Pelodiscus sinensis: one gene and its partner. The protein of the gene in region 1 interacts with the protein of each later gene in a pairwise test. Links are inferred from orthologs where the notes say so. Each region holds a gene or a part of one and is shown on either strand. Other genes may lie near its edges.

Region 1 (10,203 bases):
AACAGTACAGGCGTGTCTAAATATGAGCTGAGCAAAAGTCTCTCTAGTTTGCTAGCTATTCCAGTTTATTGCAGGCAGGCAGGCAGGGAAGGACTCTTGGGCATGTCTGCTTGCCTGTCAGTAGGATTTAATACTTCAGGCAGTTTGTAGTAGACACTACAAAGCATATGCTACGAAGAGTCATAATGACGGGGGAGGGGAGGGAAAGAGGCAGCTCTTGTATTTCCCGCTAGATGAGTGGGAAAAGACAGTTCAGTGCTTTTGTCCGATGGGAAGAACCCACAATGCTTAGGAGACGTGGCGTTCTGCACAGCAGATTGACAGTAGGTGTCAGGATTGGAGGTATTATGATTCACAGATTCAGGACAGCTGACAGCTTTCACCCAGACAAGGTGGGAGGTCCTTACTCCCAGAAGGGGCGGGGCCTCTGGTGGAAGGGGCAGGGCTGAGGCAGCCAGTCCTCAGTGCCACCTGGACCACGGCTGAACCCCGCCCCCGCCCTCAGAACCATATGGAGTATGCAGCATGGCACTCCAGCAGCAATTTAAAGGGACCCTTGAGAAAATGAGTATTGATTGGCTGGCTGCCTTACCAGCTTTGATCCCCTTTCCCTTAGAGGTTTCCATTACAATGACCCCCAACAGATGGTACCGGAGATGGATCAGGGCCCCAAGGGAGGGATTTGGGACAATTCCAGTTGCCAGGGTGACTGGATCTAGCATTCAGAGACTGTCTCTCAGGTCCCTGCACAGATCAATTCATTCTCACACCCAGCCCAGCTGCTTGGCTTCCTGGGCACTTACAATCGATCGTAGCACATGACAGAGTCCAAGGTATGTTCTCCTTCTTTCAGTTCTTTCCCTCCTACCACGAAAATGGAGTTTTCGGCCTCACCCAGGCCGAAGAGGCAGCGGGGGGAAGGGAGAGGGGGCATGCCCAGCCAGTCAGAGTCCAGATGATCGTACTGCAAGGAAACAAAGAGCCGTGAAGGTATAGCGTGCGCTGTGCTAGCCCCTCTCTGGCACGTGAAGAGTGAATTTGCTTATGCAGTCAATTTACTTAATTAAAATAAAATACCAGGGCCGGGTGCGCAGTGGCAAAGTGCTGAGTCTGTTCCTATCCGTACCAAAATCTTTACCTAGCTTTGCAGCCCCCGGTCAGAGATTCACTGTGGGTCCTTTCCTGATTTGATTCCTTCCGCTCCAGTGGTATCCACCTGCTGGCTCTTGTTGGATACTTAACTTGGACAGGGATTGTCTTTTTGTGCTGGGTATGTACCGCACCTAGCATAGTGGGGTCCTATTCCTTGATGGGGGGTTCCTCCGTGGATGGCAATACAATGGACAAATGATAACAGGACCCAAGTGACTGTAGGAACAGCTGCTGTATTTTTCATGGGCAGCCTAAGCTCCGGTGTGCTTCACAAGCAGCCTTGGCAACTACAAGTTGAGGGCTACAAATGGTGGCATGTGGAGAGAACTTCCTAATTCCTGCCAGGGCATCCTGACTTAGCACGGACAGAGCTGGGGGCACTTAGACTGCAAGTGGAGAGGAGGCTGCTGAACTGTAATTCTGTTCTGTGTTCCTTACAGAATAAAGCCTGCTGCTGGTGGTTTGTCTGAGGGTACGTCTACACAGCAACATTATTTTGAAATAACTAACATCATAACTAGCATTATTTTGAAATAACTTTAGTCCGCGTCTACCCGGCAGAAAGTTATTTTGAAATAATGTTGAAATGCTGTCAAGCTGGAGGACTTCTCACGCCAACTCCTGTAACCCTCATTGTACGAGGAGTAAGGGAAGTCAGAGGAAGCGTGTACAAGAACCCTTATTCCTCAAAAATAAGGGATTTCAAAAAGGAATAAGGGTTCTTGCGCAAAAGGGTTTTTTTTCCAGAAAATGGCCCCGTCGAAGGGCTTTTTTGTGCAAAAACCTCTTTCGCAAAAAGGATCGGAAGAGACTATGCAAATGAGAGCTCGAGATTTGTACGTGAGCACTCCATTTGCATTTCCTCGTCTGAAAAACTGCAGCAGTGTTGACATAGCCCTAGTGTGGGTCACTGTCCCACGTAGCGGCAGGATGATCACTTAGAGCAAGAGATAAAAACAAGTGAGTGCTACAGCCTAACCTCTACAGCCAGCTGTAGAGATGCCTAGACTAAGCTCTAAAGGTCCCAGGTTCAAATTCTCCTGGTGGTGGGTACACTTGTTCCTGAGCCCAGCGGGTACCCAATTGGCTCACAATATGAACATTTCCTGCTTATCCTGTGCAGGTGTCTAAGCCAAAGTGAGTGGAAAATTATGCCCATCGGGGGAGGGGCTGGCTGTTGTTTCACCCTCTCTGCTTTGTGCAGCTGAATTAGACACAATGACTTCTCTCATGATGAGCTTGGTTCCCTTTCCTTAGGGGTGGGGCAACCTTTTTTGGGTTGGGGGGGCTGCTGACCCACAGAAAAATCAGTCGGGGGGGCGGTGCACAAAAGTGAAAAGCAAAACAAAAAACACAGCCCCCATATCCCCCCCACGCACCCCACGTTAGGTTAGGCCTGGGTCAACTCCCCCCTGCTGCAGGCCCTGCCCCACCTCTGCTCCACCCTGCCCCCTCCCCCAAACCGCCTGGCCCAAGGGATCACCTAGTGCAGCGACAGCGCCCCTCCCCCACAGTCAGCATGGAGGCGGGAGCCAGAGTGGCCTGGCAGCCTGTTCCCCACCGCTGTGCCGCCCACACTTCACGGCACGTGCCGCGGGCCGGCAGAGGGCAGCGGGGCGGAGCAGAGCAGGCTGCGGGGCTGCTCCAGCTCTCGTTGCTGTGGTTAATGTGGAGGGAGGAAGCCCCTGCTGCTCCCACACCAGACCCCCCCCCCCGTGGGTCCCGTCCATAGGACGATTGGGGTAGGCCATCGCAAGGCCCCCGAAAGCATGGAGCTAGTTCAGCTCGCTAGCTCCTTCCTCCCCAGCGGATTATACGTCTTTGGTTACTTCTGGGGTTCAACGTCCACCCAGGGCACAATTCCCTAGGGACAATTCTCTTGTGACCGCAGTGAATGGCACCGCCAGCAGGGCGTTCAGTGGCAGAAGACAGATGGATGTGACAGAGAACAGAAGGCTGAAAAATCAAACAGTTCTTAGCCCAGAGCCAGCACGCAAGATAACGCCGGCGGAGAGGGACAAACCAACGTTGAATTAAAAACCTCCCTGATTGATTTCAAAGCCAGCAGAGACTAGTGTGATAATCTAGTCTGACCTCCTCATGGCACAGGCCAAAGCGACACACAGTGATCACTGCATGAGCCCCATTTGGAAATTCCAAACTTGTTACGGCACAGTTATTAGTACCCCTAGCTAACTAACCTCATACACTCTATCTATATCACAGCACAACCACCCCTGACAGATTTTGCCCCAGATCCCTAAATGGCCCCCTCAAGGGGTTGAACTCACAGCCCTAGGTTTGGCAGGCCAATGCTCAAACCACCAAGCTATGCCTCCCCTGACACAGTTGTCAGTACCTCTAGTTAGCTAGCTAGTTATCCTCATACACTCTATCTATCTGTCTGTCTATCTTCATATACTACATGTATCTAGCTATCTAGCTAACTAGCTATCCTCATACACTGCATCTATCTATCACAGAATTTTCTATACATACTGATCACTCGGTATCTAAATATTTTCATGGCCTGCATATTACTATGTAACAACTCATTGATGTAATACATACCAGTGAGCAAAATCCAACCAGTCTCTACAATCTCTGACAGAGCAAAAAAATGCGTGTGGCATACATTTTTATAAGGGATACGCAAGCCAAACACAATAACACACATGGCGGTGAGTTTCATTGGCTTTGTGCTATACAAAAGCTAAAAATTAGTGACCATTCTAGTGGGCCATAGTAACAAAAGAGTGACAAAGTCGGTACCTGTAAGAAGTAGGAGCTCATGGGGTCCTCTTTGTTGTCCTCGTTGTAATACAGTCCACCTGCTATGAAGATCTGGTTCTCTTTGGTTACCAGGCTGACGTGATTCTTTGGGATCTGAGACGAGATGGAGGCAAAGTAGCATTCGTTAGCGCTGGGGTCATAGGCCACTGCCCCGGTACTGCTAACCATGAAGATGAGGTCCTGGAGGAACATCCCAAAGCGCATTGTGTCATTCAAGATCCCTGGGAGCATGTCCTCCTCGATATCGTCCCCCTCTTCCACATCTCCATTGACGATGCTGTCCCCATCTTTCTTCTCATCGCTTTTCTTCGCCACCTTCTTTTTCACCACTGTGAGTTTTCCTTCGTTGGCATCCTTCACCATCTGGATTTTCTTGAGCAGCTCCGGGCTGGATTTCACAATGGGATGCTTCTCCACATGGTCCTTGAGGTATTCCTTGGGCATGAGGCGGAAGCGGATGCTCTCAAAGACCACCGGCAAGGCCTGAAGCCGACTCTCGCGGTCCTTGGCAGCCGCCCATTTCATCACCACCTCGAAGACGGCCTCCTCCTTCTCAATGTTGAGAGAGTCGCTGGAGATCACAGCGATGAGCTCATCGGGGGAGAACTGGTAGAACTCCTCGTCCCGGGAGATCAGGACAAAACGGTCGCAGATGAAGTCCCGGGCAGCCACTGCCAGGCGGGCGCAGTCCAGCATCAAGCCCAACCTGAAGACGGCCAGGCAGTTGCTGAGACAGAGGCGCTTCTGCAGGAAGGAGACGCAGACTGTGAAGATGGAGGGGATCTGGAACATGTTGGCCACAGAGAAAATGTCCTGCACGTTCTGCTCCGTGATCTCCAGCTCGGAGGTGTAGATGTAATGGAGGATCTTGTGCATGACTTCGGGGTCCACATCCTCCAGGTTGATCTCCCTCTTCTTGCTCTCCTCCATGTCCGAAAGGAACATGGCCCGGAAATAGGGGCTGCAGGCGGCCAGCACCAACCGGTGGCAGGGGAATTCCTTCCCCTTGACTTTCAAGACACAATCCAGGAACTTGTTGTGGTCCAGCATATCTTTGAGCCCGTCCTGGAGAAGCGTCTGCTGGTAGAGACGCAGCTCCTCTGCTTGATCTATCGGCAGCGTCATGCTCGAAAGTAGCGGCTAGTTTGCGCTTCTTTGTTTTTCTTATCCCTCGGCAGAGAGACTTACCCGAACCTGGGCGTGCGGCTCTCCCCTGCTTCCCGGGAGCTGGGCGTGCTAAGAATGTGAAGCACTTGCTGCTAATACGAGGAGCTGTATGTCCCAGCCTCAGCGAGGGGCTTTATATATAACCACAGCCTGACAGAGCATGTGTAAGCCGATCACCCTCTAACATGACACATTGGACAACCAGGCTGAGGGAACAGCTGTACGATAGCCTGGAATGGTGACAGCCCATGAATCAGTGCTACAGGATCTGGGCTTTTCCGGAAGGCCAGCGTGTGACCAGCTGCCTTCGTCATAGGTGAAATGACTTTTCCTTCAGATGGATCAGAAAGGGGAAAAAAACCTACCCCCTCGCTGGTGAATGGGTTATCCTCCCCCTTCCTCTCTTCAACAGCCAGTGCTGGACTCACCCAGCTAAAAATACGCAATGAAGCTAAATCTTTAAATACGCAACGAGGTATCGAATTGTACTGTCATTGTGATGCAGCCAAAGCTATGCCGGTCATTTGGAGGGATAATTTTTCTGGGGGTGCTGGAGGAGAACGGGAGATAATCCCATGATCGGCTCCTGAGTAAGTGTTTTACATGCTCGGCTGTGCATCATGGGCTCTCTACTGGAAGCAGCTAAAGGAGATTCTCCTAGCGCACATGTGGTAGAGGCCTGTGATTTTGGAGCATGAGGATCTGGGGGTCTGTTCTGTCTGTGATATTTATATAGAACCCCATCCCTGTCGTGTCTGAGCCCCTCACAGTTTTAATGTATTTATCCTCCCTCCCCCTCTGGGAGGCAGGAGGGGGCTACTATCCCCATTGTACGGATGTGGAACTGAGGCACAGAGAAGTTAACTGATTTGTCCAAAGCCACATAGGGAGCCTGGTGAAGCAGGGACATGAGGCTGACATCCTGTCCACTGGTCCATCTTCCTTCTCTATTGCCCACTATTTCCCACTGTCTAGAGCTGGCTGAAAAAAAATCACCAATTTTCAATGGAGACGTTTATAGAAACTTCTGAGAAAGAGGATCCAGGTTTGGGGCCAGCTCTGTTGCTGCCTGTGTGACATTCCCAATGGCCAGGGGATGTAGCATCACGACACCTGTTATTATTACAATACTAAAGTACAATTGTGACAACTCAAAAAAGCTCCCAGGCACATTTCACAAGTGACGAGCCAGGCAGGGAACCTTTATGTTCACCCTGTTTCGTTAGTGTTTATATTTAGACATCAACGTTTCAGTAACAAAGGACAATCCCTCCCCCTACTCTTTTCCCTCCCCCTCCCAGTAAATATTAATAGTGCATCTACATTATAAGGAAACCCAGGCGTTGATCCAGATTTGAACCCTACCCGCTTTCCCAGCCACGCAGAAGATCCTTTGACCTAGGTTTGCAGGTGGTTTACACCTGAGCTAGCTTAGCCAGCAGGGTGTCGAGTTAGAACCTGGCTCTGCTTTACCTCTGTAGCCTGGGACCTGCCTACTTTGCGGGGAGGATGCAGGATAAGTCTCTGGAGCCCTGATGGTTCTCCAGTGTCTTCCCACAATCCCCCCAAAAGACAGGCAAGTTTGCTGGCAATTATCACAAGACTCTGAGAACAAGGAGCCTGGGGACATGACTCTAGAACACACTGGAGCCTGCAGAAACAGTGAAGGTGCAGTCATCTGGGCTGGGCGTGGCATTGGCGTTGCTCACCCCTGGGCTAAGCGCACCTCTGTGCTCAGCCTAGTGCGAGTTCTGATGGGTTTGATCACAGAGATCCCCTGGAGATGGTCACCTGATGGGCTGATCATACCACCTACCTGTCCTCGGGGGCGCCCTGCCACCCCGTCCTTCTGAGCCAGACCCTCTGGTCACCTCCAGCAAAGGCACAGAGGTGGGGTCACCGCCCACAGCAGAGCAACGCAGACACGAAGAGCAGCTCAACTCTGGGTGGGCTTAGTCACGGAGACTTGACACAGCACCCAGGTGCACTTCCCCAATGGGATCAGAACCCCAGCTAAATCCATCTGACTCTGCACAGCAGTTTTATACAGAAGGGCTGTGTCTGGCTAACCTTGTGAGGAGGGCTTTAAACTAGGTTTGTCGGGGGCAGGTGAGCAAAGCCCACAGGTAAGTGCTGAATGTGCGGGACTGGGAGATGGGTTGGAAATGGGGGGGACTACGGCCTATAATGGCAAGGAGAAAGGAGGGTCAGGGCACAACAGGGAGGCAAGATCAAATCAGTATCTTAGATGCCTATATACAAATGCGAGAAGTATGGGTAATAAGCAGGAAGAACTGGAATTGCTAACCAATAAATACAACTATGATATCATTGGTATTACAGAAACCTGGTGGGATGGGACGCATGATTGGAATGTTGGTATGGAAGGGTATGGCTTGCTCAGGAAGGACAGACAGGGAAAAAAGGGAGGAGGGGTTGCCTTGTATATTAAAAATGTACACACTTGGACTGAAGTGGAGATGAATGTAGGAGATAGCTGTGTAGAGAGTCTCTGGGTTAAGCTAAAAGGGGTAAAAAACGAGGGTGATATCATGCTAGGAGTCTACTACAGGCCACCTAGCCAGGTGGAAGAGGTGGATGAGGCCTTTTTTAAACAATTAACAAAACTATCCAAAGCCCAAGATTTGGTGGTGATGGGGGACTTCAACTATCCAGACATATGTTGGGAAACTAACACAGCGAGGCACAGGCTATCCAATAAGTTTCTGGACTGCATTGGAGACAACTTTCTGTTTCAGAAGGTTGAAAAAGCTACCAGAGGAGAAGCTGTTCTGGATTTGGTTTTAACAAATAGGGAGGAACTAGTTGAGAACTTGAAAGTGGAAGACAGTATAGGGGACAGTGATCACGAAATAATAGAGTTCATGATCTTAAGGAAAGGTAGAAGGGAGACCAGCACAATTGAGGTAATGGATTTCAGGAAGGCAGATTTTGATAAGCTCAGAGAACTTGTAGGTAAGGTCCCATGGGAAGCAAGACTGAAGGGAAAAACAACTGAGGAGAGTTGGAAGTATTTCAAAGGGACGTTGTTAAGGGCCCAAAAGCAAACAATTCCGCTGTGTAGGAAAGATAGAAAATATGGCAAAAGACCAGCTTGGCTTAACAAGGAGATCTTGCACAATCTCAAAATAAAAAAGGAGTCTCATAAAAAATGGAAACTAGGACAAATAACAAAGGATGAATATAGGCAAGCAACACGGGAATGCAGGGGCAAGATTAGAAAGGCAAAGGCACAAAATGAGATCAAATTAGCTACAGGCATAAAGGGAAACAAGAAGACCTTTTATAAATACATTAAAAGCAAGAGGAAGACCAAGGACAGGGTAGGCCCACTGCTTAGTGAGGAGGGAGAAGCAGTAACAGGAAACTTGGAAATGGCGGAGATGCTCAATGACTTCTTTGTTTCGGTCTTCACCGAGAAGTCTGGAGGTGTGCCTAACGTAGTGAATACAAGCAGAGAGAGGGTAAGTTTAGAAGATAGGATACACAAAGAACAAGTTAAAAATCACTTAGGAAAGTTAGATGTCAGCAAGTCACCAGGTCCTGATGAAATGCATCCCAGGATACTCAAGGAGCTGATAGAGGAGGTATCTGAGCCTTTAGCTATGATCTTTGAAAAATCATGGCAGACAGGGGAGATTCCAGAAGACTGGAAAAGGGCAAATATTGTGCCCATCTATAAAAAGGGGAATAAGAACAACCCAGGAAACTATAGACCGGTCAGTTTAACGTCTGTCCCAGGGAAGATAATGGAGCAGGTAATTAAGGAAATCATATGCAAACACTTGGAAGGTAATAAAGTGATAGGGAATAGCCAGCATGGGTTTGTGAAGAACAAGTCATGCCAAACTAATCTGATAGCTTTCTTTGATAAGATAACAAGCCTTGTGGATAAGGGAGAAGCGGTGGATGTCATATACCTAGACTTTAGTAAGGCATTTGATACGGTCTCGCATGATATTCTTATTGATAAACTAGGCAAATATAACTTAGATAGGGCCACGATAAGGTGGGTGCATAATTGGCTGGATAACCGTAGTCAGAGAGTGGTTGTTAACGGTTCTAAATCCTGCTGGAAAGGGATAACAAGTGGAGTTCCTCAAGGGTCTGTTTTGGGACCCATACTGTTCAATATCTTCATCAATGATGTAGATATTGGGATAGAGAGTACGCTTATTAAGTTTGCAGATGATACCAAACTGGGTGGGGTTGCGACTTCTTTGGAGGATAGGGACATAATTCAGAATGACCTTAGCAAGTTAGAGAAATGGTCGGAGGTAAACAGGATGAGGTTTAATAAAGAGAAATGCAAAGTGCTCCACTTAGGAAGGAACAATCCGTTCCATACATACAAGATGGGAAGCGACTGTCTAGGAAGGAGCATGGCGGAAAGGGATCTAGGGGTCATAGTGGACCACAAGTTGAATATGAGTCAACAGTGTGATGCTGTTGCAAAAAAAGCAAATATGATTCTAGGTTGTATCAACAGGTGTGTTGTAAGCAAAACTCGTGAAGTCATTCTGCCGCTCTACTCTGCACTAGTTAGGCCTCAGCTGGAGTACTGTGTCCAGTTCTGGGCGCCACATTTCAAGAAAGATGTGGAGAAATTGGAAAGGGTACAGAGAAGAGCGACAAGAATGATTAAAGGTTTAGAGAACATGACCTATGAAGCCAGGCTTCATGAACTGGGCTTGTTTAGTTTGGAAAAAAGAAGATTAAGGGGGGACATGATAGCGGCTTTCAAATATCTAAAAGGGTGTCACAAGGAGGAAGGAGAAAATTTGTTCCTCTTGGTTTCTGAGGACAGGACAAGGAGTAATGGGCTTAAAGTGCAGCAGGGGAGGTTTAGATTGGACATTAGGAAAAAATTCCTAACTGTCAGGGTGGTCAAATATTGGAATAAATTGCCAAGGGAGGTGGTGGAATCTCCCTCTCTGGAGATATTTAAGAACAGGTTAGATAGACATCTGTCAGGGATGGTGTAGACGGAGCTTGATCCTGCCTTGAGGGCGGGGGGCTGGACTCGATGACCTCTCGAGGTCCCTTCCAGTCCTATGATTCTATGATTCT
Region 2 (10,479 bases), about 53 Mb from region 1:
GGAGCAACCTGTGCAGACTGAGATACTGCAGAGGAGGACACAATGAGGACATGGGAAGGGGGCAAAGTGAGTACAGCCGCTACAGCAGTGTTACTGAGCATGCTCAGCACAAGCCAAGCAGCAAATCAGGGAGTGGGATTCCTCCCCATCCACCCTCCCACACATACACACACATCATCATCATCATCATCATCATCTCTTTCTAAGAGCTACTAAGGCACTTGAAAACTCTAGGTTTTTTGGCAGATAACTTAGCAATTAGCTGATAGGAGCACTGCATCTAACTCCCATATAAAAAAGAAAATTAAATAAATATTGAGTATCAGAGGGGTAGCCATGTTAGTCTGAATCTGCGAAAGCAGCAAGGAGTCCTGTGGCACCTTCGTCAGATGCATCTGACGAAAAGGGTCTTTGCCCACAAAAGCTTATGCTCCAACACTTCGGTTAGTCTATAAGGCTGTGTCTAGACTACATGCCTCTGTCGTCAGAGGCATGTAGATTAGACACATAGGCAAAGGCAAATGAAGCCACAATTTAAATGATCGCAGCTTCATTTAAATTTACATGGCTGCCGCGCTGAGCCGACAAACAGCTGATCAGCTGTTTGTCCGCTCAGCGCGCTAGTCTGGACGCTCCCCTGCCGACATCAAAGCCCTTTGTCGGCAGCCCCGTTATTCCTCGTGGGATGAGGTTTACCGGGGCTGCCGACAAAGGGCTTTGATGTCGGCAGGGGAGCGTCCAGACTAGCGCGCTGAGCGGACAAACAGCTGATCAGCTGTTTGTCGGCTCAGCGCGGCAGCCATGTACATTGAAATGAAGCCGCGATCATTTAAATCGTGGCTTCGTTTGCCTTTGCCAAAACAACAAATCTACATGGCTCCGTCGACGGAGCCATGTAGTTTAGACGTACCCTAAGGTGCCACAGGACTCCTCGCCACTTTTAAATAAATATTAAGACCCACTCAGCTCTAATACTAATATTTCTTAAAAAATAACGACTAGTCTAGTAGCACCTTAAAAACTAACAAAACATGTTGATGGTATCATGAGCTTTCGTGGGCAAAACCCACTTCTTCAGATGACCACAGATGTTAGTCTTTAAGGTGCTACTAGACTATTCGTTATTTTTTAAAGTTTTTCCTGTTACGTACTAACTCGGCTACCCCTCTGAAATGAATATTTCTGACATCTTATGGTAAGTCACTTAAGGGACACTGATTAGACTTAAAATTTTAATGTATATTCTTATTATGTTACTAACTCTGTTGAGAGAGAGGGGGAGAGAGTGAAAGAGAGTCTGTTAGGGACTCCGGGATTCTATCTTAGCTCTGAGAGGGGAGTAGGGTCTAGAGGTTTACAACAGGGGGCAGATACATTTGGGCTCTATATAAGAACATCAGATCAGCCATACTGGGTCAGACCCAGTAGTCCATCTAAACCAGTATCCCATCTGCCAACAGTGGCCAATGCCAGGTACTTCAAAGTAGGAATAAGATCCTCTCTTAGCTTTTTAGATTATCACTTCACAGTGAGCAGATGTTTATAGGGAACTATCCACAATGATTCCAAGATCTCTTTTTTGAGTTGTAACAGCTAATTCAGACCCCCATCATTTTCTATGTATAGCTGGAATTATATTTATCTATGGCCACATCTAGACTGCATTGCTTTTCCGGGATACCAGAGGTATCCCAGAAGAGCAATGTGGTGTCCAAGGAATGTGTCCGCTTTTCTGAAAAGAATTTCGAAAAAGCAGACACGCTCTTTCACCATCCCTGTAAAACTCATTCTGCAAGGCATAAAAGATGTGTCGAAAGAGCAGTTTTTTCCTAAATTTGGCACCACGTAGATATGCCAAATTTCAGAAAAGCCTCTTTCTAAAGTAAATCAGAAATCTCTTTCCGATTTAACTCTACAATCTAGGGGTGCATCTAGACTGGCAAGATTTTGCGCAAAAGCGGCCACTTTTGCGCAAAAACTTGCCAGCTGTCTACACTGGCCACTTGAATTTGCGCAAGAGCACTGACTTTGTAATGTACAAAATCAGTGCTTCTTGCGCAAATACTTTGACGCTCCCGCTCAGGGATAAGCCCTATTGCGCAAGAATACTTGCACAAGAGGGCCAGTGTAGACAGGCACCTTAATTTTTTGTGCAAGAAAGCCCGATGGCTAAAATAGCCATTGAAGCTTTCTTGCACAAAAGCGCATCTACACTGGGCATGGATGCTTTTGCGCAAAAGCACTTTTTGTGCAAAAGCATCAGTGCCAATCTAGATGCTCTTTTGCAGAAATACTTTTCACGGAAAAACTTTTCTGTTAAAAGTATTTCCGCAAAATCATGCCAGTCTAGACGCAGCCTAGATGTAGCTTATGTGCATTACTTTGCATTTATTAACACTGAATTCCAACTGCGTTTATGTTGACTAATCACCTAGAGTTGCGAGATCCCTTTGGAACTCTTTGCAATCCACTTTGGACTGATATTTTTGTATTAACTACAAATCTTGCTACCTCACTGTTTACCCTTTTTTTCAAGATAATTTATAAATAAGTTGAACAGCACTAGTTCACGTGATCATCTAATGATCCTTCAGTTACTTGAATGATAAGCCTTTTGTTACCTTAATCATCCTGTTGCCCTCTGTTCATAAACAAACTCCCTGCCCCAAAAGGCAAAGCTGGCAAAGTTAAGAACTCTATCTGGGGCTACAGCAGGTACTTTAAGCAGACTACAAGTATCAAATATAGGGATTCAAACTTCAGGGGCTGCAGCCCCCTAGGCACTCTAAATGGAACCCCTGCATGTATGTGGGGATACATTTGACTTTGTATAGTAAGTTTTCTCTTGATTGAATTTAAGATACTTTTCTTCCTTTAAATGATTTTCCTATAAGTATCAGAAAAATTCTTTTTTATGAGAAATGATCATTCCTTTTTCTGTTTCCATTTATTAAAATGCATTATGGCACATTAAACTCATTCAGTTCTAAGCAGGATGGGTGACAATTTAAATTCTGCCAGCTTTCTTTGCTATCTTTGATCTTTCCACATTAGTTAATGGAGGGTTTGAAATGGCTGTGACCTAAGAAGATACATCTGCCAGGGTGCCTAATTTATTGCTACCCAGAGACAGATGATTTTCTACTTGCCATTCAGATCTGCTAAAATTCTTTTTTCCCATTGATTGATCCACTTCAGCCGTATAGGCTAGATGATGCTAATAGCTCAGAGCCCTTAGGAAGGGGAGATGTGCAGCTGTGTTAACCTGGAGCAGCACTAGGAGGCATTATGGCTCAGAGAGGCAGAATGCCTCCTTGTGCTGTGGGCAGAGAAATCTCCAGCACCTCCTTATAGGGCTTTTTCTTCTCTGCTCTCCAGAGTTCTGCTTGGTTTTGGAGCCATGGTTCTGCTTTTTCTATGCTCTGACCTTTTCCCCTTTCCACTGAGTTGCACCTGATATGGGGAGAAATTTAGCAGTAGCTTTTGGGTTATGGGAGGACAAAAGTTGCAAAGTCCTGAAATGAAGAATGAAAACATCCCCTTCAGCAAGCCACAAGAATGGAGCATTCCCAAACGAGCAAGGCAGAAAAGAAAAGAGCCAGAATGTACCTATGTGGAACAGAGAGCTGGAAAAGTTGCTGTGGAATCTCCCTGCAGCCATTCAGTGCTGAAGCCTGCAGTACGGCTGTCAGTTTGGTCAATGTTGTTTCAAAATCATGTGAAAGGCACAATTTCTTGAGTTCTCTTGAATAACCTGGAAGAAATCCTCCTCACATGTTCCTATTCTTTGCCACATCGCCACTTTTGCCATCAAAAATGTTGCCACGTCGCCACTTTTGCTTCTTACTTTCCCAGGGTTTAAAAATATTTAATCATATGCTTGTAAGTTCATGTTCTGTGCCCTTAAGGCATATCGACACTGCACGGAAATACAAGCCAGAGGACTTGGTGTTTCCAAACCTGTGCAGGCCCTAGCAAATAAACACTAAAATGTACTTCACCAGTCCAGATAGGTAAAAAGTAATACAAGTTGAACCTCTCTAGTCTGGTATCCTCGGGCCTTGAATTTGCCGAACCACGGGAGGTCAATATTGTCTAGCAGCATTACCAGCACTTCCACAGCTTACTGGGCTCTTAGAAGACATTTAGGGGTAAATTAGAGCTAAATAACAGCACAGAACACTGAGAGTCAAGACTGGTGGGTGTCATCTTATGTGACCACGGAAATCTTGGCCATACTTGTGATAAGTGAACATCTGTTGAACTAAAAGCTTGCCGGACCACGGAAGTTGCTGGACCAGAGAGGTTCAACTTGTACAATGTTCCAAAAAGTTCAGTAAACTGGCTACTGGGACTTCTGAATGATAAAATAAAGTATTTTCTATGCCTTAAGAGGAGCTGCTTATACAATATTCTTTGCCAAAGGGTTGCTTTCCATTTTCTTCCATCTTCTTTAACCAAAAAAAGTAGATCCTCCTATTCCTACTCTGTTCGCTGCACACAAAAGTGAAAACCAGTTTTCTTCTTAAACTTACCAGATTATTTTAGCTCCAGCTCATCTCCAAGAAGACACACATTGAAGAAAGAAAGCAAAGCCAATCAAGAGACCAAAGGAGCTTTGTCAAGTATAGGAAATTGCCATACTGGATCAGACAAAGGGTCCATCTAGCCCAGTATCTTGTCTCAGGGGGTATGTCTACACTACCACCCTAGTTCGAACTAGGGTGGTAATGTAGGCAACCGGAGTTGCAAATGAAGCCCGGGATTTGAATTTTCCGGGCTTCATTTGCATAAAGCCGGGCACCGCCATTTTTAAATGTCCGCTACTGCGGACTCCGTGCCACGCGGCTACACGCGGCACGGACTAGGTAGTTCGGACTAGGTTTCCTAGTCTGAACTACCGTTACTCCTCGTTTCACGATAGTCTGAAGCCTAGTCCGAACTACCTAGTCCATGCCGCGTGTAGCCGCGCGGCACGGAGTCCACACTAGCAGACATTTAAAAATGGTGGCGCTCGGCTTTATGCAAATGAATCCCGGGAAATTCAAATCCCGGGCTTCATTTGCAACTCCGGTTGCCTACATTACCACCCTAGTTCGAACTAGGGTGGTAGTGTAGACATACCCTGATAGAGGCAACCACACAATCCTGCAGAGAATGGTATAAGATTCCTGTCCTATGCAGATGGAAAGGACATTTCTGTTTCCGGGGCTGGGCTATAAGGAATGATGCTTGTCTGATATCATGCTGTCTTGGGGCTTGCCTACTTTACAAAGAGTTGTGTACATGATCCCATTTGTGAAGAATCTCCCTGCGTTAGCTACTTGATTCTTCAGTCGTGTATAAACATGGTAGACATTTTTAACAACCATGGTGTTGTTTTGAGCTACATTGACTGCTAATCCCAGCACCACATCTGCTAACTCGATGCTTCTAGGTTGTTCATACATAGTAACCTTTACTGTCTCAGAAGAAGTGGAGCAGGTCATCAGCTACCCCTTCCTTTACATCCTTCTCTCCAGATCCTGAGGATTCCACTGATTACTGCTGCAACACCTGCCATTTCAAACCACAGGGGCTAGTCCTGGGTGAGAAGCTGCCTACATCACAAGCTGTACTATAGGATATACTCAAAAGCTACAGCCATCTGTCATTATGATGTCAGAGCCTACCCTGAGTGCAGGTCTGAATATGCCCACAGGATACACCCTGAGCCAGAAGGTAGGCTTGAGTTTATAGTTTTGTCCCTATTCGATTTCCCACTAGGTGTTCATTCTGCAGTCTGCCAGACATTGAGCTGGGGGATAAGGAGGATTGATCACTACAAACTGGCCCCCAGCACTGAGAGCTCCCTGGAGAATGGGTTAGCACTATGTTTGCAACACCTCCTATGCTTTAAATTTATACAGAACTTTATGTTTTTTCAAAGGAAGCAACAGTTTTAGCATTCTTCAGAATGGTCAGTATAATTTCTATCCCTCTAAGCTGTTTGTAACAATCCCTGAAGCCTGAAACCAACTGTATGTTTTAAAAATCCATTCTCTCACTATTCTGTCAGGGAACGCTCCTGGTTTACTATAGAAAGGTTGGTTAATAAATGCCAGATTGTTGATGTTGGGCTACTTTCTATTTTTTTCTATTTTTTTTTTAACATAGAGGTCCCAATATAGCTTAGCATGGCTCCCAGGAAGCGGTCACCAGGTCCCTCAGCCCCTAGCTGCATGAGTGGTCAGGGAAGTTCCACATGCTGCCCTCATGCCTGCAGACACTGCCTCACAGTTCCCATTGGACATGGTTCCCAGTCAATGGGAGCTGCAAGCCAGCACTCGGGGTAAGTGCAGTGCATGGAGCCTTCCTGTGCCTAAGGGCTGCAGGGACCTAGTGTCCACTTTTGAGAACCACCCGGAGCCACGGCAGGTAGGTAGAGAGCCTTAGTCCTGGGCCCCTGCTGTGTCATTTCCCAGACTTTTAATGGCCTGATCAGCAGTGCAGACTGGAGTCTCCAGGGTCTTTTTTAGACTGGGAGTTGCTGTCAAAAACTGGATGCCTGGCACCTCTAATGGTGGCCTCCAGTCCCTGGGCAGCTCTCACTACAGCCCAGCACCAGCTTCTGGCTGGGTCAGGGGTAGGGTCTTGTGGGGAAGAAGAGGAGCAGGTTTGGGGCTTTCTGGTAAGAAGGAAGAGGCTGACTTCACCCCTGAGAGGATGGCATGTGCTGAGTTGCTCTGAAGGGAATCCAGGACAAATGATGCCCTAGGGAGTCATGCAGTCTAGGACCACAACTTGAAATGTACCTTTCAGCTCTGTCCTTTCCAGTTAGGGATGGGTGGTCACCTTAGTGTTCCCCAGGGACAACAGGTGAGTGTTGGGGGGATTTCCTAGAGGCAACAGGGCCTTGAGAAGGCCCTGTGAGTATTGGAGGTTCACCAGGGAACACACTGGGTGGTTCAGCTAGGATCCATTTCTAGTAAGCAGGGACCAGATTTCCTCCACCCACCAGTGTTAATCCAGACTCAAGAACATTTACATGATCAGTATAGACTTGCAGCAGTATCACTAGCAGAAAAATCTGACCACTGTTTCTTACCTGTTTGCAAATTTCAAACCAGACACTATGATCATTGGTTCCTTTGCAAGGTGATAGTGAGTGACTGAATCTCACGCTTCAGCATATGGTCACAGTAGTGGTCAAGTAGGCCCTTGTACATGAATGTCAAATACTCACAAAGTCCACATGCCAAATCAATGTGCCCACCAGGTACACCCACATATCTAAAGGAGATTTTTTTTTTTGCACTTCTTTTCAGCTTACCATATCAGCTACTATCTGATAAAGGCAATCAAAATATAAATTTGATCTCACACTTCCTATCTATTTCCTAGTACATAAGACACTAAAATAATATATTGAACATAAGAATGGCCACACAAGGTTAGACGAAAAGTCCATCTTGCCCAGTATCCTGTCATGCTTATTTGACCCCCTCAAAGAATACTAGTAAATAGGTGCGGCATGATTTCCCTTTACAAAAACCATGTAGACTCTTCACCGACAAATTATGTTAATCTGTGTGTTTGACAACTCTGTTCTTTACTATAGTTTCAACCAGTTTGCCCAGTACTGAAGTTAGACTTACTGGCCACTGATTGTCAGGATCACCTCTGGAGCCCTTTTTAAAAATTGGTGTTGTGCTAGCTAACTTCTGGTCATTTGGGACAGAAACTGATTTAAAAGATAGGTTATAAACCACAGTAAGTAATTCTGCAATTTCACATTTGAGTTCCTTCAGAGTTCTTGGGTGAATGCCATCTGGTCCTGGTAACTTATTACTGTTTAATTTATCATTGTGTTCCAAAACCTTCCCTAATGACACCTCAATCTGGGACAGTTTTGTCACCTAAAAAGAATGGCTCAGATTTGGAATCTCCCTCACAGCGTTACCCGTGAAGACTGATGCAAAGAATTCATGTAGTTTCTCCACAATAGCCTAACCATCCTTGAATTCTCCTTTAGCATCTTGATCATCCAGTGGCCCTATTGGCTGTTCAACAGGTTTCCTGCTTCTGATGTATTTAAAAATATTTGCTACTATATTTTGAGGTTTTGGCTATCTGTTCTTCAAATCCTTTTTTGGCTTTCCCAATTATATTTTTACATTTCAGTTGCCAGAGTTTATGTTCCTTTTGATTTTCCTCACTAAGCTTTAACTTCACTTTTTAAACAAAGCCTTTTATTCTCCCTGCTTTTTTACTTTTGATTAACCACAGTGGCACTGTTTTGGTTCTGTTGCTATATATGGGTATGTCTACACTACCCTCCTAGTTCGAACCAGGAGGGTAATGTAGGCATACCGCACTTGCAAATGAAGCCAGGGATTTGAATTTCCCAGGCTTCATTTGCATAAGCGGGGCGCCGCCATTTTTAAAACCCCGCTCGTTCGAACCCTGTGCAGCGCGGCTACACGGGGCACGAACTAGGTAGTTCGAACTAGGCTTCCTAGTTCGAACTACCGTTACTCCTCATTCCACGAGAGTATCAAAAATGGAGTCATAGAACACAGGTTTAATAATTCATGTCACACACATCTCAGATAGTAAGCGTGATTTGAGCACTAAAAGCTCCTTTTTTCCTGTATGTTCTCTGATAGTATTGTCTGGTAAGAGACAATTAGCTCTGTGTCTAGTGACACTTAAGTAATTAGCTACCACATGAGGCAGAGGCTAATCCTGTCAGATACTCAGTGCTTTCAGCAGCTCAGAAGTACTGGCCCTTAATGAAGTGTGATGGATGGTTGCCTTTAGTATCCTGTTTGCCTGATCAGGAATTTGTTAAATTCTTGTATATGTACTGGGGAGTTGTAACAGCAGAGCGGGGAGCAAAGTTTAGGGGATCTCTTCCCTCCCCCCCCCCCTTCCTTGTGAATTCCTGCCATCTGAGTTGGGAAGCCCCACTAATGTACACTTGTCTTAGGCAAGCAACCTGTCTCCAGTGGAGCTTAGAAGGTGTACAGGAGTATGGCGTTGCCAGTAAGTGTATCAACCCTCCACTGAGCCCTCTGACATCTCCAGGAACCATAAAGGGTGTCTCTGGGGTCTTATGCTTGCCCTATGAGCCCTAGGCATGTGGTAGGCCAAGAAGGGACAACATTGATGGAGGACAAATAACAGAATGGAAGAGCTGAGGAGCAGCACAGGCTGCTGGAGAAGGGGAAGGAGGAAGCAATATATACTTGGGTTACGTAACATGCAAAGCTCCAAATGGGAGATTTGTTGGGTAGAGAAGGTAAAGAAACTCTAGTGCTTCCCAACCCCCATGTTCTCTCCACTTGTGTCTTGAGCTGCTTCTCCTCTGCCTGGATCCCTCTGCTCCTCAGAGTTCCCCCATTACTTACAGCAAGAGATATCCACTTCCCCTCAGATCTCTCACTGCCCCATATCCCCTGATCCCCACCTACAGACATAGTCTCCCTCAGATTCTCATACACTTCACAGCTTATCCTTTCTCTTCCCAATGTCCTCTTTGAGAGGCAAGAGGGTTCTGCCAGAAGCAGTAGAGTCTAGGTAGGGAGAGGGCATTAATGTGGTTTATGATGCAGAAGGAAGTAGGGAAGGACTTGTGGCTTTTCAGAGAGGATTCTTGTGCTGTGAGCCAGAGGAGTTTCATTGTGTGGATAAGTGAAACACAGTGCTTACTCCTGTTCCTGCCATCTTCTCCTGCATGGTTAAGTTGTTCCTATGTAATCAGAATGGTTGCACTTTGCTCTCTGTAGATGACTGCACAAAGCTACAGGCAGTAGAGAATCCTGCATTAATTCTGTTGCATCACTTTTCATCCCAAAGTGTTTTCCATGCTCCATAGTTTATCTATACAATACGTACAGCATCACCGAAATGCAAACATTTCTGGCTTCAAGGGTACAAAACACCTTCCACTTTGCTCCCTTGCCAAGTTTTTCCTACTTTTATACAGTGTGCAAACTCCTTATGTTGTGAAATGAGACATGGGATCATTAATGTCCATAGAGCAAGCAAGACCTTGAATTTTAAGGATAAATCCAATAAATAACTATAAATTCCACTATTTGATCTGAGGAAGTGGGTCTGGCCCACGAAAGCTCATCATCTAATAAACCATCTTGTTAGTCTTTAAAGTGCTACATTGTCCTGCATTTTGCTCCAATAAATAACTACTGAATCTTTTCAGAGTCCATGTTCCAAGGGAAGATTTTACTTTCCCTGCAATTTATTTCCAGCTATTGTTTGTTAGATGAAAAAAGCCATACTTAGTGCTATATTTGTGTCTGTAAATGGCCTTTTTGTTTATTTTACATTGTAATCTGATAGAAGAGATCATTTGCAATAGTGAAAGTGGTCACTGTTTCCACAGCTGAAAGGTATCAGGGTTCAGCAGAAGCTATCCGTGGTACTTGCTCAGATTGTATCCTGAGGCACTGGCTGGTTCTTTTGATGATTTAATCT

The links. The genes of interacting proteins can lie anywhere in the genome.
Region 2: the proteins of KLHL40 (region 1) and SPMIP4 interact in a two-hybrid assay, tested with the Homo sapiens proteins (2 studies listed by BioGRID and IntAct). The two-hybrid records come from large-scale screens. The link is inferred for Pelodiscus sinensis from reciprocal best matches to the Homo sapiens genes KLHL40 and SPMIP4.

The regions. Positions count from the first base shown.
Region 1 is NC_134712.1:251,311,929-251,322,131, forward strand, and holds the start of KLHL40 (kelch-like protein 40), read right to left. Parts: upstream 5,223-10,203; 5' UTR 5,071-5,222; coding exon 3,925-5,070; intron 965-3,924; coding exon 804-964; intron 1-803. UniProt on the Homo sapiens protein: Substrate-specific adapter of a BCR (BTB-CUL3-RBX1) E3 ubiquitin ligase complex that acts as a key regulator of skeletal muscle development.
Region 2 is NC_134712.1:197,997,453-198,007,931, forward strand, and holds the start of SPMIP4 (sperm-associated microtubule inner protein 4), read left to right. Parts: upstream 1-5,673; 5' UTR 5,674-5,721; intron 5,722-10,479. UniProt on the Homo sapiens protein: Microtubule inner protein (MIP) part of the dynein-decorated doublet microtubules (DMTs) in flagellum axoneme. May serve to reinforce and thus stabilize the microtubule structure in the sperm flagella.